Oreochromis niloticus: one gene and its partner. Each later gene encodes a partner of the first gene's protein in a complex. Links are inferred from orthologs where the notes say so. Each region holds a gene or a part of one and is shown in the gene's direction. Other genes may lie near its edges. The genes, in order: sart3 and ccnt1.

What was found.
Region 2: sart3 (region 1) and ccnt1 share a complex: the UniProt entries of both Homo sapiens proteins name them as parts of the 7SK snRNP complex. The link is inferred for Oreochromis niloticus from reciprocal best matches to the Homo sapiens genes SART3 and CCNT1.

What each region holds. Positions count from the first base shown.
Region 1 is NC_031977.2:18,322,584-18,334,979, forward strand, and holds the start of sart3 (squamous cell carcinoma antigen recognized by T-cells 3), read left to right. Parts: upstream 1-7,595; 5' UTR 7,596-7,621; coding exon 7,622-7,822; intron 7,823-9,132; coding exon 9,133-9,259; intron 9,260-9,350; coding exon 9,351-9,455; intron 9,456-9,539; coding exon 9,540-9,724; intron 9,725-9,971; coding exon 9,972-10,077; intron 10,078-10,484; coding exon 10,485-10,609; intron 10,610-10,706; coding exon 10,707-10,862; intron 10,863-11,003; coding exon 11,004-11,142; intron 11,143-12,073; coding exon 12,074-12,181; intron 12,182-12,286; coding exon 12,287-12,364; intron 12,365-12,396. Other genes in the region: tmem119a (leucine-rich repeat transmembrane protein FLRT3), read left to right, coding at 3,242-4,612; iscua (iron-sulfur cluster assembly enzyme ISCU), read right to left, coding at 5,132-5,223, 6,639-6,717, 6,827-6,937, 7,018-7,131, 7,300-7,401. UniProt on the Homo sapiens protein: U6 snRNP-binding protein that functions as a recycling factor of the splicing machinery. Promotes the initial reassembly of U4 and U6 snRNPs following their ejection from the spliceosome during its maturation.
Region 2 is NC_031984.2:6,829,170-6,842,164, reverse strand, and holds the start of ccnt1 (cyclin-T1), read left to right. Parts: upstream 1-7,228; 5' UTR 7,229-7,507; coding exon 7,508-7,680; intron 7,681-8,371; coding exon 8,372-8,453; intron 8,454-8,539; coding exon 8,540-8,668; intron 8,669-9,101; coding exon 9,102-9,162; intron 9,163-9,696; coding exon 9,697-9,759; intron 9,760-9,843; coding exon 9,844-9,898; intron 9,899-10,130; coding exon 10,131-10,294; intron 10,295-10,381; coding exon 10,382-10,452; intron 10,453-10,537; coding exon 10,538-11,848; 3' UTR 11,849-12,995. UniProt on the Homo sapiens protein: Regulatory subunit of the cyclin-dependent kinase pair (CDK9/cyclin-T1) complex, also called positive transcription elongation factor B (P-TEFb), which facilitates the transition from abortive to productive elongation by phosphorylating the CTD (C-terminal domain) of the large subunit of RNA polymerase II (RNA Pol II).

The sequences.
Region 1 (12,396 bases):
CTGAGATCTGAAATTTGGCTGAACCATTGCAACAATCTGTCTGAAAAAGAAAAGAATCATTCTGTTGTAGATTTGATGTTGTGTTTGGGATCATTGTCCTGATGTATTACCAAATTTAGGCCAAGCGTAAGCTGTCAGACAGATGGTCTCACATTAGACTCAACAATACTTTGGTATGCAGAGGAATTCATGGTGAACACAGTGGCTGCAACCACCGTGCTTGACAGTTGTTATGAAGTGTTTGTGCTGATATGCTGTGTTCGGTTTTCCCCAAACATGGTGCTGTGCACAGTGACCACACATGTCTGCTTTGGTCTTGTGGTTTAATCAGATGTAACTCAAACCTAAGCATCTCTACTGGCAACCCTTCCAAATAAGCCACATTTGTTAAGTCTTTTTTTGATAATTGTTTTGTCATGAACTTTAACATTTAACATGCTAACTGAGGCCTGCACACTCTGAGGTGTAGATCTTGGTGGCCGGGGACCTTGTGGTGAATTTGCTGGGACATTTTCCACTTGTGAATTATATTTCTCACTGTAGAGTGATGGAGTTCACTTTGATGGAAGTGACCTCATGACCTTTCCCACACTGATGACTGTTGCTGATGTATTTCATCCTCAGCATTGTGTTAACACACCTGAATACCACAGACCTACAAACCTCTGATTTTATGAACGTGCCAATGATTAGTTAATCAAATGCATTTGATCAGCAGTACCTGGCTGTTAGTTACCCACTTACTTCATAATGGAAGGGTGGACTTAGTTTTCACACACTGCTTCTGCATTTTGGCTTAGTCTTTGTTAAATCAATGACATGTTGTAATATGTCACAAGATGCTGTTCTGAACTGGCTTGAACTGAAAGAGGGTGCGCTTTCTTTGTACAATGACTGTACATATTTATTTGGCTTACACCTTTGACCTGCTCTCAATGGGCAAATGTATTTAAAAAAAAAGTAGGGAGTAGAAAACAAATGTTTAAGTTTTTCTTTTAAATAATTAGTACATTTATGTATACGATAAATTATGCTTTTTTTATTTTAAGTGTAAAAGTTTGAAATGTGAGTAGAAGGATAGACAGTTGGCGTGTTTAGCTTACGTGTATAGGCTTGACAGATGCATATTTGTCTCTCTTATCTGATTTTATTTGATTAAATTACTCTGTCCTGTTGTTAAGTTAATGACCTTGAGTCTCTAATCTAAGCCTGAATTATGTGCCAATGCTTTTGTCATGCTGACATACTGTTTTCCGCCTAACCTCAACCACAGTTGCTTTCTTTTTGACACTTGAATTGTTTACAAAAAGACCGTTTTGTTTTGCATATATTTAATAAAGCTATCGAAAAAGATGTCTCTAAGTGCTGTAAATGAAGCAGCGTAAATGGCTGAAGCTACGCCAAATGAAGCACAGATACAACCCTGTGGAAACCTACAATTAGAAAAGGCGAGGAAGGTCCCGGAAAAAAAGAGGACAATCTCAACGTGCACATTATGTTCCACTTGGAAATCTGTAATTTTGACCTGTGTCCACACAGAAATCACTGGTAACTATTTTAAGGTAATTACCGAAATGCCAGATCTGTGATATCTGCTCTGTGATGATATAAGCTGTCTTCTCTTTTCACATTTCAAACCCCTGATCTGCAAAAGAAAAAAAAAACCCCAAAACCCACTGCCAGAGCTTTCTGATTGGCCAGGATGAAGCCGCTGGCACCATCACCTTGCAGGACTGCAGACGAAGGTACTCGAGCCTGGAGATGACGAGAGCCCCTTTTGTCCTTTGCTGGCAAATGTACAGAATTGTTTAATATTTCAATAGCAGTAATCCAGATACATACGGACCCTTTGGCACAAAACAAGAGCTCATGTATTGTTTATACAAATCTTGGGGACCCTGATTTGTTCCCATCAGAATCATGATAAGAAGTCGAATCCCTTTTGTTCCATATTTTGAGCAAGTAATGAAATATTGATGCTGTATGAAGAGTGGAACTCTTTCAGTTATGTATTTTAATATATCTTATTTCCAGTGTGACATGGATAAATCATGATGCCATCTGAAATCTGTTTAAAAAAAATGTAGAAAATTCATAAGAATGTTTTTTTTTTTTAATCCTTAAACATAAAACTCCTTTCAGGTCTTAAGTAGGTCAAACTGCCAAAGATCAAACAGGACATGATAGCACACCAGCTGAAAAGCAAGTGTAACCATGTGGTGGCTGAAACGTGAGCCCAGACAGAGCCTTACACCGGGCTCAGATTCCCTGCTCTTTTATCAATGAGGTGCTAAATAATTCGAGAAAATGCTACCCCCTTACTTTCACTCTTCCTTCCAGAAAGATGCAAACCACGGGACCACCCAGCGCCGCTCTCTTGTAGCACATCTTCACTAAAGTCACTAAGTTCAATAACCTCCACCTTAGCTGGGCTCCAACAGGAGAATATTTAGGACATCCTTTTTTTCATACCATTTTTTTTCTGAATGTCTTTTGTATTTTCAGCTTGTTCATAATAAAACAGCTGACGAATAAAAGGACTTCTCGGTCAGTTTGGATGGAGAAGATGATCAAGAACAGGTAACAGAGCTCCTTAAGGCTGTCATTAAACTTTGATGAGCATCTGCCTGGAATTATCAGCAACGTCGGTTATCTTTAGAGGGACGGTCGATCACTTAGGGAGCATGGGAAAGCACTCCTGCCTGTCTCTTTGGAGGAGCAGATAATACACAGAAAGAAGAATGGTAAGTGAGGCAGTTTTCACTCTTTGGCATCACTTTCTAACAAGTGACACCTTATCATGGGCTTTTAAGACGTAAGAAGTGGCTTTATAAATAGTTTTGGCAATTCCATGAATGGTTTTTACACTCTGCAGCTCTTTTCCATAAGGTCATTACATGTACCAGAGTGTGCTGGTGGAGTACTGGTGTTAATAAATGGTTCATTAACCTATAATAAAGCTGCTTTTGGCTGTTTCCTTATTCACAAGGGATTACCACAGCAGATGGCTCCACGTGTTTGTTTTGGCAGAGTTTCTATATCAGATGCACTTCCTGATGCAACCCCAGTGGGATTTGGCTGTCCTTCCTGGATCAAACCAGGGATCTTTCAGCTGCTTATTAACCTTTAATAAAGCCATATTATAACATTATACCCCTTCCTTTATAGAACTTTTAGAGGAACCATATCCTCTAAATGCATCTAACTGCTCTTCTGTCCTGCATTATTCTTGCAGTGAGTCATGCTTTGGTGCAGATGTGGTGTCCTGCTGGCTCTCTGCATCTGTCCTCTAGCCTGCCTTGCAGTGTCTCCCTGTCCTACTGGGTGCTGCTGCCCTCGCCCAGGATTTCTGGTTCTGTGTGAGTCACTAGGCCTGAGATCACTCCCTCGCTCGGTTCCTCTCAGTACCTCAGCTCTATCTGTGGCCAGAAACCAGCTCTGTAATGTGGACCACCAGCTCTGGCCCTTCTCCGGCCTCCAGGAGCTTAGCCTCAGTCACAATCTGCTAGCCCGCTTCCCTCGTGGCCTGCCTCCCAGCCTGGAGTCCCTGCAGCTGCAAGAAAACCGCATTACTTACATCACCTCAGGTGTCCTGAGGCAGCTGGGAAACCTCACTCGCCTGGACTTAGAGGACAACCGTATTCGTGCCATCCAGCCCGGGGCACTTCAGGGTCTCCACAAGCTGCAGGTCCTGACACTGAAGGGGAACAGGCTTACAAGTCTCCCCCTGAATCTTCCACCATCACTGACCCATTTAGACCTCTCAGAAAACTGCATCTCTGCCTTGGACCTGCCCTCACTGTCTGCTCTGGTCAACCTGCAGGTCCTGAAGATCAACAGCAACTGCCTGCGGTCAGTCCCAGAGAGCGCCTTCGACAGCCTGCCACGTCTCAGATCTGTGGACCTCACCAACAACCTGTGGGTGTGCGAGTGTGACATTCTATATCTGTACCGCTGGCTGCTGAGCGGTAGGCTTAAGATGGCCACAGACATTGTGTGCACAGAGCCTGATCATCTTGCCCACCGTCTGCTTCTGAATCTCTCTGTCGTGGCCATTTGTCCTCGTGTCCTGAAGCCAAATGACAGGACACATGAACGTGACCTCAGCTCTGCACAGGAGAGGACGCTAACAGCGCAGCCAGCAGAGAAAATATCAAAACTAACCACTAATGGACTGCTTTCCGAAGCTCTAAACAGTAATCAAGACTCTCCCAAGACACGTGTCTTGCACTACTCTTTAGAGACTCTTACCTATGAGGAGTGTTTATCCCTAAATAACAGTCAGTCAGTCAGCCCCTTCCATTTAAAGACTACTACTTCTCTCCCTGAGGAGGAACAGAGGTGCAGAGACAACATCACAGCTCGATACCCTCAGAGTAATGTAACCCCTGCTGAGGGGACACAGTTCTTGCTTTCCACACACAGAGATGCACTCGTGCCCACTCTCGTCCCACAGCCGTTCACTCAGCAGGCCACTGCAGCGATCATCTCTCTGCTGGTTGTGCTGTGTGTGTTAGTGGCTCTCGTAATGCTGGCAGTGCTGCTCGTGCTGAAAAAGGTGCTCGTGCGTCAGCAGAGGGTAGCTCCTGCTGATTCAGGATCAGCAGGATGACATTTACACACACACACTGAAAAGTCTTTTAATCTGTTTATTCACAGTAAGCAAAGCACCTCATACAAATTTTCTGAACTTTTTTTTGTATGTAAACTTTAACTGTTGACATTCTCATACCAAGTCTTTCATCTGGGACCTAAATTGTCTCACAAGTGAGCCAGATAGAGCCTCATAGCCAAAATATACAAACCCACACCCCTGCTTCATTAAAGATGTCTTTAATGCTGTGTGTATTAAAGTGTTAAGCTTCACCATGAAGTCATTGTTAATTAAACAATTCTAATTGTGTGATAAAAGCAAAAGAATCCATAAACGCTATTAACATCTGGCACTTGAACAATATGGGACCCTTGGCTTAAACTCAAGAGACTGATCCCACACCTGTGGAGAATTCCCCAACGGATGCAAGATCCAATGTGATGTGATTACAGCGACCCGTCTGCACTGCTCTGGCACTAGGAGAGGCATGATCCAACAATAGGATAAATCTATTATTATAGACAGTGAATAAAAGCATTAATTGCTGGCTTTAACACGTTCCTCCTTCTTGTCCTGTTGCTTTAGCCGGTAGTCTGACAGTGCTGCTTTTATGGCATCTTCTGCAAGCACTGAAAAAAAAAGAAGATTTTAGAGACACTATGAGCATAATATGGAAAACAAAAAGCATTCAGTTCATGATAACTGGGCGATTTGATTTCATTTCATATAAACATTATGTAGGGGTGATTAATACAGTCACTCATTCATTCATTCATCCATCCAATCTTCCATAGAGTGCAAGATGGGGTACACCATGAAGAGGTCACCAATCTGTTGCATGGCTAAGACACAGAAACAGAGCTATTCACACCATCATCAGTTAACCTATAGATGTGGTCAGAAGTTTACACTTGTCGTGGGGAGGAATGTCATGGTAATATGGGACTTTTAAAGATTTCTTTGAACTGTTCTTTTGAATTTATTTTGGACTTTCTCTGATTCACACACAGGGTTAAAAGGACACAAACGGGATCTGGTAACTGTGACTTTGTCATAGTCTGGAAGAAAACCCAAACTGTCACCCTCAGATGAGAGGAAATTGGTTAAGATGTTCAGAAACAACTCAGGGACCACTGAGGCTCAAGCCTGCTAAGAACTCATCAAGTCATTAAAGATTTTCCACCCCGGAAAAACAACAGTTCAAAGAAATCATTAAAAGCCCCAAATTACCATGAGATTCATGCCAATGATGAGTGGATGTAACGTGTGTTTGGACTGTGGAAGGAAACCAGAGTACCCAGAGAGAGCCAACACTGTTTAGAGATATATTTATTGTACGTGTAATCTCATAACACTGTTAAATATCACAAAAACAATACCTAGAGGTACAGCTACAATTTTCATAAAATCCAGTATCACTAGAACGTACAGGATTTTATCATCCCCATGGCTGAAATTATATGATTTATTACAGGAAACACCTGATCTGAAAGCATAAATGTAGGTGCTTTCAAACAGAGCAAGAGAAAGAATTTGTCTTGGGAAAAAAAAAAGAATGGTGTGCATGGCCCTGAAGCTATTTTGGACACTTAACAGCACATTTTGATCTTAAGTAGGTTGGACCAGGGATCTTTTTGTTGTAAAGCTGTTCAACTACATATTTAATCCCTGAGATAGCTTAATGTAAGAAGAAAAGTGCAATTTAAATCATATTTCTCAGGTTTTCTACACAATTAGGAAATGCTGATATATTGAATTTAAGAAATCGGCCAGCATGACACTTTGTGCTTAAGTGGTAAGAAATTGTTGTCTTTTTTGTTAACTGACCTAAAATATTTTGGTGTAGTATGAATGGCCACAGTGGAGATCCTTTTATTAGGAAAAGCTACAAAACTTGAAATGAAAATACAATTCACATTTTCCAGTGTGAGCCGGACTGAAGTTTTTGCTGGCCCGATTCTGCCCCCCGGGCCTTAGATTTGATATATGATATATATTATGACACCCCTGTCTTAAGAGATGTTAATAACGACTGTGAACTTACTTGAGCAGTGAAGCTTGACTGGAGGAAGGCAGAGTTCTTTGGCAATGTCTGTGTTCTTGATCTTCAGAGCATCGTCAACCTGTAGGGCAAAAGCAGATTCATGAGACCCTTTACAATAGAGTGGAGAAAACAGCACTTTTAGGGTCCATTTTTTGGTTGCCTGTACTTTGTTTGGTACTTTAACATACCGACTTCCCCTTCACCCACTCTGTTGCTAGAGAACTGGAAGCAATGGCCGATCCGCAGCCAAATGTTTTGAACTTTGCATCGATGATCTTTCCATTTTCATCCACTTGGATCTGCAAAGAGAACAGAGTCAAACATGGGAATTTCAAATACATGATAATGGATTGGTTTCTGTTACTGACTTCCAGTTTACCTGAAGTTTCATAACATCACCGCATGCCGGTGCACCCACCAATCCAGTCCCCACATTCTTGGAGTTTTTGTCCAGGGAGCCCACGTTTCTCGGGTTTTCATAGTGGTCCACAACCTTAGGGAGAGGCCACACTTATCAGAAAAAATATATATCTCTGTTCTCTTGGTGTAGCAGCTGACAGACAGGGCACTGTTACCAGTTGACAACAACACGATAAATGTCAGCTAACTCTTTCTAAGTAAGGTGACGTCAGCGGGTTTGGACGCATTTTCACTCGGTTACCTTTTTGTGGTACAAGCAGACAGCGCTCAGCTCCGGTTTGAAAATCCTCCTGCTGAAAAACAGCAGCAAGGACGAGGAGCTTCGTAGGCAGACGTTCGCCATGTTTCCAGCACCAACTGCGAACGGAAATCAACGAGTGAGCACGAGGAAGCACGAACGGCTTTTGTTGACAAACAAATAAGAGAAGAAGGTTTTACACAACTAGGGAGCGCCCACTAGCGGCCACGGGCGAGGTTAGACGGTGACCCGTGTTGACGGGCTCCGCCTCTCATCGTCCCGCTGGCTGCTAGCAGGCTGTTACCAGGCAGATAGCCTTTCCAACATGGCAGCGTCAAGCAACGCAGAGCAAACGCAGTTGCAAGATATGGAGGAGGAAGATGCAGGGATGGAGGAGAGGGAGATGGAATCGGACGAAGACGAGGAGGAAGGCATGGGAGTGGAAAATTCAGACGAAGACGAGGAGGACGATTCGTCAGAGGACGAGAAAGAAAATGAAGCCGAGATCCAGCGACTTGAGGAGCAGGTGATTAGCCAGCGTTAGCCGAGGGGCTAATGAGAATGAATGGGTGGTAAACACGGCCAGCCACAATCGGGTAGGCAGCGTCAAAGCGGCGAACTCCTCCGTCATGACATGGTCGAGTAAAGGCAGAAAATATACGTGGCGTTGGTAGCTCTCGTTAACCAAAAACATCTAAATATACAACCACGTCATTTACATAGCTGTCGTGATTAGCTGCCCTGCTAATGTGCGATGCTAGTAGTTCGCGTGCCTCGTATTCACACGCGCCTTTTTTCTTGCAGTCTCGGTCCACGGTGGGATCCCAGCGTTTAGTGTGGGTTAGAAACAAAGTACAGTACAAACAAAAACAGTACACGCTGTGCTAACTTTAATGAGCGTCACGTGATCAGTGGGTTTGACCCCTTCACATAACATTGAATCTGCTGTAGTCTTAAGTACGGAGAGTGCTGCTGCAGCTTCGCTGGTGACTGTGTAGTAGGTGTAGCAACCTACAAATACACTCAAATATAGATCCAACTGCATGACTGTACACGAGTCCCTCTGCGAGCATCAGTGTGTGGTACTGCTGACTGTACTGTGCTATATACAGAGATATGTTTTAAATATTCAGTCTCACTGATGTAGCACAAAAGTCCAACAGATCAAACTGCAACCCACGAAACTACCTGAATTTTCAGTCAACAGCTCAACAAAATATGAACATATGCTCTCATGAAGGAGTGGGTTGAGTTTTATAGTTTGTAGTCTTGCAGCTGTTAATAATAAAGAAGAACAACAACAATGTTATTACACTTTAAAAGAGAACTCTCATAGTTCATTACATGAATTATAAGTGAACTTTATTTTCTTTTGTGGTGGTAATAAATTGGAGGTAAACACATAAAATAAAGCATGGATTGTTTAGGATACACTTTGTTTAAGTGCAGGGATTTTTCTGCATATAACAGATTTGTATTTTCACCAAAGAGATCTTGGCCTGCCAACAAGCTTCATGAAAAATATTTTTAAATTCATAGAGATATATTAAATAAGGTAACACACTTTTCCTACATGCAAACCAATTGTGGCAGTTGATGTGTTCACCTAAGAAACAAAAGATCCCTGGTGGGATCCTGGGAGAGGTTGCGTCATGAACGGTAAAAATTCGGCCGAATCAAATATGCGGAGCTATCTGCTGTGGCGACCTCTTGTGAATGCGAGAACAGCTTAAAGTAGCTTTTACATGCCAACCGATTGTGATTTTGTGCCTACAAAACCCCTGAAGTGCATTGTCACATATCTCATTCCTTCTTCATCTTTGTGTAACTCCTCAGCTGTCCATCAACGCTTTCGACTACAACTGCCATGTGGATCTTATCAAGCTGCTCAAGCAAGAGGGGGAACTTTTCCGCCTGCGAAAGGCGAGGCAGAAGATGAGTGAGCTTTTCCCTCTCACTGAAGGTTGGTGCACGCCTGACATGCTTCTGGGGTTGGAGGAATAAGCGGCTCTGCATTATTTACAACTGAAACCTTGTTTTGTTTAATCCCCCAGAGATCTGGCTGGATTGGCTCAAGGATGAAATCCGTCTGACTGAGGAGGAGCCAAACCGAGAGAAAGTATATGAGCTGTTTGAGAGAGCTGTTAAAGACTATATCTGTGAGTGCGCAACACCATCGCCACCACCTTCCGGCCTGATGATTAGTAATTACACAATCCTAACATTTAACTTTACACACACAGGTCCCGATATCTGGCTTGAGTACGCGCAGTACTCGATCGGCGGTATGGGCTCACCGGGCGGAATCGACAGGGTGAGATCCATCTTTGAGAGGGCGGTGACAGCAGTGGGGCTTCACATGACCAAGGGACAGATGGTGTGGGAGGCGTACAGAGAGTTTGAGAACGCCATCCTGTCCACAGTGCAGGTTTGTGTTCCCGTCACTAGGACAGAGTTCACCATTCACACATAAGCTATGTTTGTGTTTTTGTATTGATTGTGTACATATGCCATATTGTCTTAGAAATTAAAAGCTAGTGTAAATAATTTTATTTCCATGTTATTGCTGTCAAATATAACACTTCTTCAGTTCAGATTGCTGACTTGAATTCTTTCCATGTTTGACTGAATGGCTTGTGCTTTAACACCATGTTCTCTGCTGGCTTTCCTCTCAGCCTCCCCCTGGCAGGATTCCCAGCCATGAGGAACAGGAGATGCTGAAGACCCAGCTTGAGCGAATCCATACACTGTTTCGCCGACAGTTGGCCATCCCTTTAATGGGTAAGCATGACGTGTCTTCTGGCCAGACTGGTTGCTGTAAAATGAGACAGATTCCTGTTGCGAGAGCCATATGTCAGAAATTACCCGGTTTAAAGAAAGTTATGACGCTGGCTTTTAGGATAAAATTAACATGTCAGGGTGACGAGTGCACTCCTCATTAGTTTACTAGAGAGGTAACCGGATGGTTTGGTATCGTGTTGTTTTTCTCTGAGTGGAGAGCCGTGCCGTTTCTGAAACATTTGAATCTCTAAATTTAAGTAAAGCAACAGATAAAGTAGAACATTTTGCAAAACTGAAAAATGACTATTGACTGTGTAATTATTTGCGGTGTTTGTATTTTTATATCCAATCTTGAAAGAGTAAATTTCCTGCAAAATCTGTGATAATTGTGCTCTGCTGCTTTGTAGACATGGAAGGCACCTACGCAGAATATGAGGAGTGGTCCGAACATGGCGTCCCTGAGACGGTTATGCATCAGTACAAGAAAGCTTTGCAGCAGATGGAGAAGTGCAAACCGTTTGAGGAGGCTCTGGTAATGCACTTTGCTAAATATGATGTCCATTCGTTCTGTGTAATGTTTTTAAATGATGTTGATCGTTTTTGTGAACACTGCTGTTGTTTTGCTGCAGATGGTAGCAGAAACTCCAAAGTTAGCAGAATATCAGGCCTACATCGACTTTGAACTAAAGGAGGGCGACCCAGCACGGATCCAGATAACCTTTGAGCGCGCTCTGTCAGAGAACTGCCTGGTGCCAGACATGTGGGCCAAATACACCATATACCTCGTGAGTTGTTGGTCACTGTTTGATGTGATGCCGTCTTTATCCCCCCCCCCGTCTAATGTATAAAACCTTGCTGTTCATCTCGTTCGTTTTTCAGACTGTTTTAACCATTTTTAACTATTTTTCTTTCTCTGTGATCGGCAGGATCGTCAGCTGAAGTTCAAAGACTTGGTTCTCTCCACTCATGAACGTGCAGTCAGGAACTGCCCCTGGACCATGGGACTGTGGAAGAGCTACCTGCTCGCTCTGGAGAGGCACGGAGCCGACCATCAGACCGTGTCCGGTAAGAACACGAGCGCAGCTCGAAGCTGTTCACACAAGAACCCCCCGCTGCCTTCAATATTGAAACTATTTGAACTCCTTTTTTTCTTCATAACAAATAGGACTGAAACAGATTGATAGGATTTTTCAGTGGAATTTAATTTGCATTCATTCTGAATGGATGTGCATTGGTTTTAGAGACAAACTGATAATTGTTCTCGTTATAAGTGATTATTTTGTTTATTTCATTTATTATAAAAAGAATTTACAAGTATTTGTGGAAGCAATTACTAACACAGGATGAATATTAACTTAGTTTGTTTATTCTGTTTTGTGGTTTCATTATTACTATGTTTGAGTTTAAAAAGATTGAGCTGTATGACTGATGAAATGTGGAAAAATGTAACCTTTCTTAACCTTGCCTGACTTCCAAGTATGTAAGAGTTTAAAAAAATGATTCGATGGACTTGGCTCCATCATTATAAGATCACCTAGGCCTGCACATTTTTGTGTTTATTTTTTCTAAGGAAGACCGGTCCTTATCACATTTATATTAAATGTGATGACAAAAAGGCAAAATTAGTCCACTCCATAATATGTCCTGCTCCCTGAAAAATACATGTGAGACGGATAAATATTTTTTTTTAACTTACAGTATAGTTATTTCTTTGTTTTCTGAAAAAAACCTGACTATCCAAATCTGATTTATTATGGCTTTTATGGTTTATGTCTACCACTGTAGCCCATAAAGAGTCATAAAACAGGCAATAGATGAAACTAAACACAACCCGAATTGTACCTTATTAAATCATTAGCATTATAAAGGATAATGAAAGACGTGTGCTTGTCTTTCATTCATTTTAAAACTACCTTGAATTTATTGAAAATACTAACAACCTTCTAGAGAAATGTTGTCGTCTGATGTGTATTTTTCTCTTTTGTCTTCCACGCAGATGTCTTTGAGAAGGCACTAAATGCAGGCTTCATTCAGGCTACTGATTACGTGGAAATTTGGCAGGCGTACCTCGACTACTTGAGGAGACGCGTGGATTTCAGTAAAGGTGAGAGCGTTTTTGTGTCATGAACATTTTGTACGTCAGGAAAAAAACAAAACACAACTCAAATAATGTATTTGATGATGTGTTACCTTGTGGGTTTTTTTGCAGAGTCAAGCAAAGAGTTAGAGGAATTACGAGCAGCCTTCTCTCGATCTCTGGACTACATGAAACACGATGTCGAAGAGCGTAAGCAGACGGCACTGACATCTGTTTTTTTG
Region 2 (12,995 bases), on another chromosome or scaffold:
CAAAATTGAAGGGGCGCAAACAGGAGCTTGTAAACAACGCAGAAGTTTCTGAGTTTTAAGATTTTTGCTCATCGTTTCAACTGCTTTACAGCCCATTCTTCTAATGTATATCAAGCAAATACAGCAACAAGCAGCTACTTTACAGTAAAAGTTGGTTGATTACTCGTCATATAATCTCAAGATAAACTGCTCAGTGAAATCTATAAAATCATTTTACAAATGAAACCATCGACGGGGTTGGTATGTTTTGTTCTGAAGCTGTTGCGTAAAGTTTTCCATGAGTGAAAGAAAAAAAAGATGCTTTTTATATAAACATGTTTTTGTTGACTGTTCCAGTTATGAGGAAACCTGTTATGGAAGTGATAACCGATTAAAACATCTAGTAGTTTACAGTAGAAGTAGGAAAAGGAGGATTACTGACTGTAATTTGTTCTAACTGTGTGTTTAACTGTACTTTTGATTGATCAGATAGTCTGATTGTTTTTTTTGGAGGGTGGTGGGGGCATCACTGATACACTGCTTCAGTTATCTGTCCATTTTATAACATTTTGTGATTTAAAATAAATTGTTTTCAATTTTTTGATACCTGCGTCCTCGTCTCATCACTGTTGTGACTGGAGTTTGATCATCAGTGTGGACCATTTTAGTACTAAAGAACAAATTCTGTCGAATTGTAGTTTGTATTTTGCTCAGTTGTTTATTATCTTTAAATATGGCTGGAGTTGTGTGTTCATATTTCTCTCCAAGTGTGTGAACATTAAGAAATGTTATTTTTGACCCAGAGTCAGGCCAGTTAGAGACCCCAGTTAGAAGTTGTATGATTGTAAGGTTTATCTACATATTTCACAGAGATAACAGAACAAGGCAAATCTGTATCTGGAGTATTGATTCACATGACAAAGAGCTTTGAGAGTGTAATTACCCCCTGGTGAGCACTGATGAAGCACAGGGATTGGAGTCAGATAGCTTCACCAAAGGGGGCGCCTGACACACGTCATAGGATGCAGCCGACAGTCCTTGTCTGAGTGCTAAACGCACGGGCGATATAAAGTATTTAATTTCAATTTTGCTAAAGTAAAATGAGTTTTTGGGTCACTATAAAATGCAAGTAATAATAATTTACCATAACCTTTAAAGTAAGAATTACAAGAGCAATTTGAGTTTGTCTCTGAGTTTTTCCTGTTTTAACATTTTTGCTTTCCTATATCAAGCACATTCTGCTGGTGCTTTACAGGGAATATTTTTTTCACCTAACATTAAGTTATTAGTCATATTACAGTCTAAAAATAGACTATGTAGATATCTTTCAAATGAAACAGTCATTCTGAGCTGGTTTTAATGTAAAACAGCTCCAGAGAGGTTTAATTATCAAAGGATCAATTCTTTACTCATTAAAAGTTTGGTTTCAGTGAAGTTTGGGTCACTTTGATCCTTCCTATTTTCTTTCTTTCCATAATATCAAACAATGTTGTGATAGGGATAACAGTTTAAAACATCTCGCTTACAACTGATGGAGGATGAAGAAATAATATTTCTGTCCCATTTTGATAAAATGTTGCTGCATTAACACATTCTAGAGTTTTTAGCTGCACTGTAAAATCTCAAATAACAACACAAACACTGTCTGAAAAACAAAAGCAGTAAAGCGGTTGTAACAGGAATGACCAAAAATCCAGATGAGTGAAAACCAATAAGCCGCGATAAAGAAGATTTGAAGAAAATCAACACTTTTTAACAACTTGAAGGCTCATTTGGGCAACATTTCTGCTGTGTATGTTGCAATCAAATCAAGAAAAGTTTTAAAAGTGGTCGGAAAAATCCTAAAATCAATTATAAAACATACAGGAAGCCACTACAGAGAACTGTGATTGGAATGATTCACCCCTAAAACCAGCAAGAAGCTTTGCTGCTGCATTTCTAACTGTTTGCAGACGAGAAACTGAAAGGAGAAGAAAAAGCGAACAAGACCAACGTTAACATTAACAAAATCAGCATTTTCACAGTGAGTACATTTAAATAACAGTCTAATACCTGCAGTTCAGTGATAAGTTTTGTTGTGTAAATGAGTGCTCACTGTTAAAAATCATGTCCACTCAGAGTTATCTGTATTTTAAACTTCCTGATGATCACCTCATCACTCCTGCTAATGTGCCCTAACAAACTGAAACCCCCCCTCACACCTACAGAAAGAGGCCGCTCCCGCTTGAAGTTTCATGACACAATGAGGGCGATCAGTCTGAACAACTCTGTATTGATATGCAGCAAAAACTGCTGCGGGACAGAGACAGCCTCGACCACCCAAATACAATACAATCAGAAGTCGGCTTTCACCATTAGTACTCGTCAATTATTTGACACCTGCATGGCTTTTCAGTCTGTCACCAAGCACATCTGTTTCACTGTGAAAGCTCCTGCTAGCTAAATGAAAGAAAAATGAAAAGGATTAAGAGGTCTCAGCATTCCCTGCCTGGATATTAGCAGAGAAGTGGGTACAAAAAAGAAAAAAGAAAGAAAATAAAGTGGTAGGCTGCAGATGACCTCTCAACAGGAAATATGGGGTTTGTTTTTGACATGTTAAAATTGACCTTTTCAACTTTTATATTAAGGTGAAATCCTTGAGAATATTGGCCAAATTACCAGATTTAATTTTCAATAAAAAAACGGAGGAATTATATGTTTCACCACTGACTGAACACACTGTAATGGAACCTGATCAACATGACTTAATGGTTCAATTTGCGATCTTTTTATAAAACCTTTTTCTTTTTGTATCCACGTGCTCCAAAATATTGGTGTGCGATAAAATTGTTATGTGACCCCTTAAAACATATGTACGCATGCACGCACATATATATATTTTTTTTAACAGTTAATGTAATTTCAAAAATGATTTCTAATTTTTGTGTTAGAAAAGGCAGTCCCACTTTTAAATGGTCTTCCATAGTGACTCCCACAGTTTATTGGACACTTCTCTGATATTTTTTTGAGAAATTTGTCTGTTTGCAATGATTTAAGAAACATCAACTGCAGTTAGTTGTTTTATTGTTTTATTGAAATTCCTAATAATTTACTTTGACACCTGTGATCAATAATCAGCCATCAGAGGCTATATAGTATAAATATAAGTAGAATATAAATAACTACTAGTATAAATTGTCACTTTTTCTCTATTGCTGGTCTAACCTTTATATCACTGTTATAGTGATGGGTAATAAATGCAAGTGAAATACATAAACTGAGAGACTTTAATAACTAATCTGATCTCAGATGACTGAAGAAGAAGAAAGACACACTTACAGCAGGAACAATCACAATCAAATGTAAATTATGATCCTTCTAAGAGTCCGAAAGGAGGGTTATACAGAATATGGCTATTTGTCAAATGTATACTCAGCGAGCATGCAGTCTCCTCAGTGTATGATGGGGAGTAGGCTGCTTGATTTATGGCACTCATTTCCAGGTGAAGTGCTGCTTGTGACTTGTTCCAGATGCAGATGTGCTAAGGTAAACACATAAACTGTATCTTAATAGACGTGTCAAAAACTGTGAAATCTTGCTTATTAGATTTTTATCATTCTTTCAGTTAAATATAATACACATGCTCTAACCAAAACTCCAGTAGCCATCTAACAAGATGGCTTGTTTGTCATTAAAAAAACACACATTTACAATATTTCAACATTACTATGGCACTACAAGGTTATTGCAATAACCCTGTAATTATGGATACTAATGATAATCTTATAAGAGTCCACCGGGTCTTGTTAACCTAACCCAGGTAGGGTTGGGTTAACATGCATGTTAATGGATTTTGACTTATTCGGTACATCCAACAGGTTAGAGTCAGATCCTCTGCAAGGCCAGAAAGTGCTTGTTTGAGAGTATTTTTTAAGGTAAAATCCTGTAGTTTCTACAGTGGTGTTTGTTTATATGGTTTAAATATCTAATGAATACCAGTAAATGTTATAAGGCTAAATGCAGCAAGTAACACATTACAGATTTGTAAACAAAAGAAAACGATGCAACCTCAACATATGTCGTCATAGAAAATCACTGCAATGGCCCACTTATGTATTATTGTGAATTTCAATACTGGAGGGAAAATATTTGCAAGTATTTATGCTTTTTAGTGTTCCCAGTCAGAATTGACCAATCAGTTTTAACAGCTCTTAAAATTAACATAAGAAACATTTTTCACCACCAAATTCAGTTCAGTGGGTCGTTCAGGGGGTCAGAGGCCAAAGGGGGGTGGATTCCCATTCATTTCCTATGGCAGTCACTTTTGACTGGGAACACCACAGATGTAACAAGGTTGATTAAAACACTCAAAATTCAATGAAAGAGGTGCTCATCACTTTTATATGTTCAAGTGCGTAGTGTGGAGGATGTCATAAGGCCTTGAGGCAATCAGATGTAAAACACAATATTTATGAGTGTTTTAATTTGTAAATTTGTCAGACATGACAGGAAGGTGCATTTGAGCAGTTCCTTGTATAGTTTGGATGCTTCTTTAAGTGTTGTCCAGAATGGATCTATCACTACTCATATTGTTCTGTTTAGCTACAATTTAGTGACTGCAAATGTTCAATTAGCAGCTCTTACAACAGTGTTAGTGTACGACAAACCAAACTTTATAGCCTAGTTAACACGTGTGCTGTCCTTTTCCTTTTCCTCTCAGAAAGAAGTACCAAAAATCTTTTGATTTGGTGAATGGTGTCGGCTGTGATACCACCAGTTCTGAAAAAGACAGGAATGTTTATATAACCTTGAGGAAGGCTTTCCAAGTTCCCCATGCTGTGTGTTTACCGCTGCCTTCAAATCATAAGGTAGTGTCAGATACAACAACAGCCTTCCTTTTCTGTAAATTGGCTGCAATGTCTAAAACACTTGTGGTTGGTTAGTGACTGAAAGATTAGTGATACAAGTGGCAGAAATGAGCTTCCCTATAAAGTGTCTGGATTCATAGAGATAAGATGAAAAGTAGAGCTGCTACTCCTCCACACTGAAGGGCATCTGGCTAAGAAGCCTCATATCTCATGTTGATTCTTTACATAACTGTAGGGGTTTGATGGGCTAAAGAGGCAATCATTTAACAGAGATCAAGTGAGGCATCATTTCATGCCTTAAGGTTACTAATGCATCCATATCTTAATTTCTAGATAAAACAAAAATGCATATTCTAATAAATAACTCAGAGTTCGCTTGAAAAGACTTGACTGTCTTGTGGGTGACTTTTTGTAAAAACTTATTTATTATTATGTTCAATTTTTTGAAAACTAGTCTGTTTTTCAAGCCAACTAATACTGAGTATCGTGACTACCCTGATACTTTAACAATCTTGAGACTTTCACCCACGACGTCCCTTGTGTCATGCTGAACATGACTGGTGCTCTCATCTGAGAAGGGGTTACCCAGTTCCTGAAACATTACGATCATTGCTTTGTTGTGCAAACTGATTAAATTGAGGAGGACTGATATGGTATTGTTTAGCTTTTGAGCACCTATTCAGGAGAAGTTTCACTCATCATCCATTAGGGTAGATAATCATATTAATCAAGGAAGATGATTAACCTCTTTGATCATTTGCCTTGATCATGTCAAGTGTTAATCAAGTCAGGTGATTAACTAGATTGTTATTCCTCCTACAGCATCATCTCATGTACACGGATTTTTGTACTGCAGAAATCTTTAGTGCTGAAGGGAAAATCCCAGAAAAAAAATCTGGGACAGCATGGCTGTCGGGACGAGGTTAGTGTTAGCATAGACCTTTCCAACATAGCACTATTTGGTTATGGACAGATAGACTAAGACTGTGATATTAGAGGCTGACCAAAGAGGCATATGAGGGAAAATGGAAGGGAATGTAGCTCTCTAAGTGACCGTGGCTAATCATATAACTGGCCACCATTTATTGCCCAGCGTTAGCATGTTTTCAAAAGCCAGACACACAAGCCTGGAGACTGGTTGATGACACCCCCCGATGCACTCCCCTCCTTGTGGCCTCCAACTAAAATTCAATAGTACGTGCTGGGGAATACACATTCATCCCTAACAACTGGTAATTGGCAGAGGGTGTTTTATTATTCTCCAGGCCTGCTTGACTGGGCCTTAAGGATTTTGTCGCCACATGTCCTGCAGTATTGGCCTTAAAATTCTCCTGTACTGGGGTGAAATGATGTGCTGTGTGGAGTCTTCCAGGAGAAACTGGGATAGCGTGTCTGTAGATTTGAGTTCAATTACAATTATAAGTTTGATAACAGAGAACTTTGCCAGTATAGTACACTCTGGTCAGGACAGATGTTTCAAAACTTGGGGACCAATTTGAGTGGGAGTCCTTGCCAGTGTGAGTTAAAATGTCTTAGTGCATGCTCAATTATGCAGGTAGGGAAATCCTAGTAAGTTCATTCTGTTCGTCAGGATTTATTTTCAGAATCAACTTTTTGGCATTACCTTGATGCATGCTTGGATGACCAACCATGCATCAAGACATCAAGCCTACCAATGCACTGGTCTTGTTTGTTAAGCAAGTTCAAAAGCAGTAAATGACTTGCTGTGTCCCATATGGCTTGGAAGTCAAAGGTCAAAACTGGGAGTAACGTCACTCCAGAGTTGGGCATTTTACTTTTTATTAAAGTCTGAAAACCAAGGATAAACCTGATTTCTTTTACTGCTTAGCAAGGCATAGATAATATAGTTGCAACACACTGAAGGATAGAGCCTAGTCAATGCTGTACTGTACAGATTAAAGGTTTTACAGTTTTACTACTCTTTATGTACACTGCCAGTCTTGGACTGGTAGGATGGGGCTGGTGGGGGATCTCTGACTTTAAAGTTTCAGTTGAAGATTCTTACTGAGAACTTTAATATTCGACTTCCTACTTCAGCTATTTGTTGCAACTTGTCTTCTCCTCTTATGTGCCAGATGGTGGGCTTAAACTTCTCACCCATGGGGGCGGGCCTAGGTGCCTAATGCACTGGTTTTGTGAAATCAATGATAATAGCAAGTTTATTAATGCAGCACTTTTAAAATTTTGATTTAGACTGTGTTTCGCAATAGTTTTTTTTTTTTTTTTAAGTAATAGCATTGTTATTAGATTCCATTCCGAATCCTACTTGAAGTTTACAGCTAGGGGGCGGGGTTTGGGAAGGGGCTTGTGGTAAGGTAGCACCATGAGTAAAGGTATGAGCACTTATAGTCAGTACCCTAGGAAGAAAAGTGGGCGTATACTGATGCAGGACAAGGAGATTCACCTCTGGGGCTGTGCGGTGTATGGAGCACAGAGGCTGTAGCTAGCTTACCGGAGGTTTCGCTTTTGGCTATTACAGTGTTATAACAGGAGAGATCGTTATTGTATGAGACTTTAAGTACTTTAAGTTAAGTTTTGAGACCCCTCTGCGCTTTGGAGACCTCTGCTGGACCGTCGCTGGAGGCGCGCTGACGTCGCCGCCCGGCGTGACGTGTGTTCCTGTGACGCGCAGAAATTTTAAACTCTCGTCCTTCTCAGTGATGGCGGCTTCGTTTCGCTCTCTCCCCGCAAGCAGTAACAACAAATGGTACTTCACCCGGCAGCAGATCGACAACAGCCCATCTCGGCGAGCTGGACTTGATCCCGACAAGGAGCTCTCGTACAGACAACAGGCGGCGAACCTGCTCCAGGACATGGGACAGCGGCTCAATGTGTATCCTTTTGTCGTGAGCTCTTGTTAGCTCTCTAACTTTAGCTTCTCTCCCGAGCCGGCTAGGAGAAGGAGTGTGGCTGGTGTTTGTTAGGTTGTTGTTGTCTTTTGTTCGACGGTTTCACGTTTGTTTTTGTCTTCCACGTCTGTTTAACGCTGTGGAATTTGGTTTTACGAGGTGTACGTGAGCTTACAAGCGTTACACGATAGCGGCGTAGTGGGCTAACCCTTGGGCCGCAGAGGCCTGTGTAGTCGGCGGCCTCCAGGACGTTAGCATGTTAAGCGTTAGCTTCACCACTGGTAAATATCAACGAATAAACGCAAATTAGAAGGACAGTGGGACACCTTTAGAAATACAGTAATGTAGGATGTTTCAGAAAAAGTGTTTTAGATGTGTTAGTTTTAGAAAACATCGCTTTGTGTGTTATCAAGAGTCTTATCCCAGCTAGCCTGTGGCTAAAGTGTTGTTTAACTTTGTTATTCTGTGGCTGATACGATAACAGGCTTACCTACATTATATTTTATACCTAATTAGCAATATTAAACCTATAGTTATCCTTATAACTATTTTATAATTATTTTATTTCACACGTATACCGACGTTTCCAGCCCATTTTCAAAGTATGCAGTCATTACAGATGTTATGTAATTTGCTCCCACTGTTTACCTTTTTTCCTTAACTGCCATGTATCAGCTCTCAACTTACAATTAATACAGCCATTGTGTACATGCATCGCTTCTACATGATCCAGTCCTTCACTAGATTTCACAGAAATGTAAGTAATGCTTTTCTTGCTTGAATCATGGAAATGATTGTACTTAATGTGAATCAACTTTTTAAATCTCCACTGCCCCTTTCCAGGTCATCGCACCCGCTGCTCTGTTCCTGGCAGCAAAGGTAGAGGAGCAGCCTCGAAAGCTGGAGCATGTCATCAAGGTGGCCCATGCCTGCCTCAATCCTCAGGAGCCTTCACCTGATGTTCGCAGTGATGTAAGTATTGTACTGCAATTGTCCGAGGGAGTTTTTTGAAGCAGAAAAAAAATTCTTACAATAAGGCAAATGGCAATCTTCTTGCATGTAATCTGAGAACATTTACTCTGTCACGTATTTGTTCTGAGCTGTTAAGGCTGCTTGATTACATGGGTTGAGAGAGTAAAAGGCAAAATACACCTTAGCCTGTGTAGGTTTTCAGTCATGCAGGCAATGTGATGTCTAGCAGTTGTAAAACTCGAGCATCTGTACTTGCTATGTAGCTTTCACTTTTCATCACTTATATCTGAGGCTTCTTCAACAAACATGTATGCCAGAAAGCCTTTCAGACAAATGATCAGAAATTCTCGGCCACATAACGTGTACAGTTGCTCTTGTTTTTCAACAATTGGCGGCCTCCCAGTGAGTAACGTGCCTGTCCTCTCAACCTCAGGCCTACCTGCAACAAGCCCAAGACCTGGTCATTCTTGAGAGCATAATTCTCCAGACCTTGGGTAAGTTTGGAAGGAAGAACTGGGTCCCTTGAATTCCCCCCCCAGAGAACAAGAATAGTTAACATGTTTTACTTCAATTCACAGTTTGCAGTAAGCAGCACTGGAAGTGATATTTATGCTTCACAACCGAAGCACCCACTTTTACATTTCCTGTTTCAGCCTTTTCATTTTTGTCAGCCCTAACTTTTGACATTTTACCTTTTTCACCTGTGTATTTTTAAGACATTTAAAAGGGAGCCTCAAAACAACTTTTTTCCCCTTCTTACATGCCATTAATTTTTTTTTTCATATTCAGGTGTTGACATTTTCATGTTGTCCAGGATGTTTTCCCATGAAAAGTGACACTCCACTCAACTCTGACTCCCCACCACTTGATTTTTAACACGATGCTAATTTTCTGGTTTTCAGCGCCTTTGTTAATGTTATCTTTGCCAGTGGGAAGTGGATTTGTATTCCATATGGATTATAAGTATAAATTGATTTTGCATTTCTTTTATTAATGTCTACCTACATTTTCTTCTCTTTCTATTACAGCTTTTGAAATCACCATCGATCATCCTCATACACATGTTGTCAAATGCACTCAGCTTGTCAGGGGTGAGCATCATTTTTTTGGTTTTGCTCAATTTTATCTTCAGGTTTTTGCTGTGTCTATAAATTTTTTCTCTCTTTGTTCTGCTGTTGTTCCAGCAAGCAAGGATTTGGCCCAAACATCATACTTTATGGCCACCAACAGGTATGCTCAGAGTTCACCCATAGTTCTCTCTCTCTGTCTCTCTTACACACGCACGCGCACACACACGCACACACACACACGCACACACACACACACACAGGGTTTAGTCTTTCTTATGTGAATGCTAGGTTTTCACCAAAGTTTGTGTGTGGTTTGTTAAAGCTCAACACACTGATTTTCTGTTTTCTCTTTCCCTGTTTGCTTTTTTTCTTGGACGTATCATGCCATATAGCCTGCACTTGACAACGTTCTGCCTGCAGTATAGTCCACCTGTTGTAGCCTGTGTGTGCATCCACCTTGCCTGCAAATGGTCCAACTGGGAGATCCCCGTGTCTACAGATGGCAAACACTGGTGGGAGTATGTCGACCCTACAGTTACCCTTGAGCTGCTGGACGGTATGTGCAATAAATGCTCTTTAAGAAAAAAATGTTTAGATAATTAAAGGGCTGATTTGACTTTTTTTTTTTTTCCCCCACTTCCAGAACTTACACACGAGTTCCTGCAAATCCTGGAGAAAACACCCAGCCGACTGAAGCGAATTCGCAACTGGAAGGTACAACACAAATTTACCTGCTCCTTTTTGTTATTAAAAATTCCCGATTCAATGTGGACATTGACTGACTTTTTTCTTCTTCCAGGCTGGCGGACAGACACCAAAAGCCAAGCCAAAAGTCCAGGAGGAGGGTGACCAGAGGGACACCATGATCAGCATGATTTCCATGGCTTCATCAGAGAGTACTGTGGCAGGCCTGATGAGCCTCTCTGCTCCACCTTCTGCCTCCTCTTCCTCATCAGTGGGCGACAAGGACACGAATGCTTCTGGCAGTGCTCAGACTTGGAGTGGAAAAGGTCAAGGTGGATCTGAGCAGCAGTCACAGCAACCACAGCAGCAGCCTAACCATGAGGTCCACGCCCCAGCTAAGGTGTCGCTGAGTGAGTACCGTGCCAAGAATGCTGACGTCCTGGCTGCCCAAAAGAGAAAGTTGGAGAACATGGAGGCCAGCGTAAAGAGAGATTATGCCAATGCAGCTCAGGCCCTCATTGGCCAGCAACAGAGGAAGGAGAAGCAGCAGCATCACCATCATCCACCCAGCGCTTCCTCTGACATGTCCAACCCATCACCCATTATTCTTAAAATCCCCTTGGAGAAGGAGAGGCATGATTCTCTAAAAATGCGCTTCCCAGTTGCTGGAGGATCAGGAGGAAGCAGTGGACATAGCAGCAGTGGTCGAGGCCAGGATCCAGACATCAAAGTCAAAATCCGAGTGCCTGACAAGCAGAGGGGGACTTCAGGAGAGGATGGCAAAAGCAGGGACAAGCACAGGGAGCGTTCTAACCACCACCACCATTATCATCACTCTCACCACCACCATTCCTCTTCCAGTAGTGCCTCACTTTCTTCTTCACACAAACATTCATCAAGTTCCAGCGGCACGCTGGGAAGCAGCAAAAAAGTACCAAGTGACTCCTCTAGAACAAGCTCCTCATCCTCGTCCTCATCCTCATCTGCCTCACGCAAGAGGACACACTCCCAGGATCCTTCAGCGGGATCTCACCCACCCTCCAAAGTGAGCAAGTCTAGGAATCCCTACCAGTTACCTCCCCTGTCTTCCTCCTCCGGACAAATTTTGGGGCATGGTTCTGACATTCTTCCATCTCTGGGCCTCCCCCACCACCAAGGAAGCTATTCGCATTCCAAAAGCGACAAAACTGACACTAATGGTCACAGTGCAGCTGGCGGAGCCCAGTCCAACGAGTACCAGGACACTTTTGAGATGCTAAACTCACTGCTGAGTGCACAGGGTGTGCAGCCGTCCCAGCAGTCTATGTTTGACTACAGATCTCAGTATGGTGATTATCGGTACTCGAGCAGCTCCAGAGGAAACAACCCTAGGCCCCCTCCCCTGCCCACGGAGCCGCCTCCCCCACTGCCGCCTTTGCCCAAATAAGTTTCTAATCAGGAAACCACATTATGTACATTTTACTTGACATCTTGATCATCTTGTTACATAAAGTGTTGTATGATATTTTCCAGCCACCCAACATTTTATAGTCTTCAGTGTGACAGCAGAGAAATGTACTGGGGGTAACAAAGGATTTTATGGCGTACTCGTGGGGCAATAATGGGACTTGCAAAATGTGAGACAAAAAGAATTATGGGAAAGTGTAGATAGTGTTTTGTTTTTTCTTTTTGAAAAATTCAAATGATATGTGACAAGAAGACGGGAATTAGAGGATGTCAATGTGTTTGGAAAAATTTCCATGACATACCTGGTTGGTCTTCTAAATGATTCTTTTTATAATGTTTTTATAGGGTGTTATTTATTGATCAAATGATTTTAAAAAAGAAAAAAGGTCCCCTTTTTCTACCTTTTTGTAGGGTTAAACCTCTGTTCTTTTGGAACAGATGGTCATTTCTTTAAGACTGTACAGCCTAGTTAGAGTGCATGTCTCCAAAGCCATCTTTTCGATATATTTTTTACTTTATTTTATTTTTTCCTTTTTTATTTTTTTTTGTGAGCCATAAAAATGGCTTCATCCCTTATGTATATGTTATATTTGCTGTGCTATTTGGTGATTTGAGGAAAAAAAAATGTAAAAAAAATGTTTAAAACAAACATTGGAACCTTTATATTTGCAAATTTGCAAAAAAAAAAAAAGGATGTAAATTAGGAAAAGCTTATACTTTTCACTTTAAGTTTTTATGTCTTGCAGTCATTGTTTTAAATGGTTGTAAAATATTCATATTTGGTTCTTGAATGGATACACTAAGTTCATAGCAAGAACATTCATCTGTTCACAAACGGTTGAAACATCTGTGCGCTTTGGTCACAATGAAGGAAATGCCAACAAAAAGAGCATCTGTCTAGACTATTTCTCTTTCCTTATTGTGTTTCCTCAGGAGTTCATTTTTTTAGGGTGATCACAGGTAAATGCAAAGACAAAGAAATAAGCATCATATATGGAAATGTATAATTTTCAGAAGACAAGAAATTATGTCAGGAAAAACTTTTTCCCAGATTTGCTAGACCCTACTAAGCACAGTATACAGAGTTTTAACATCGTATAAAAGTTCATAGCTCATCTGTTTATATC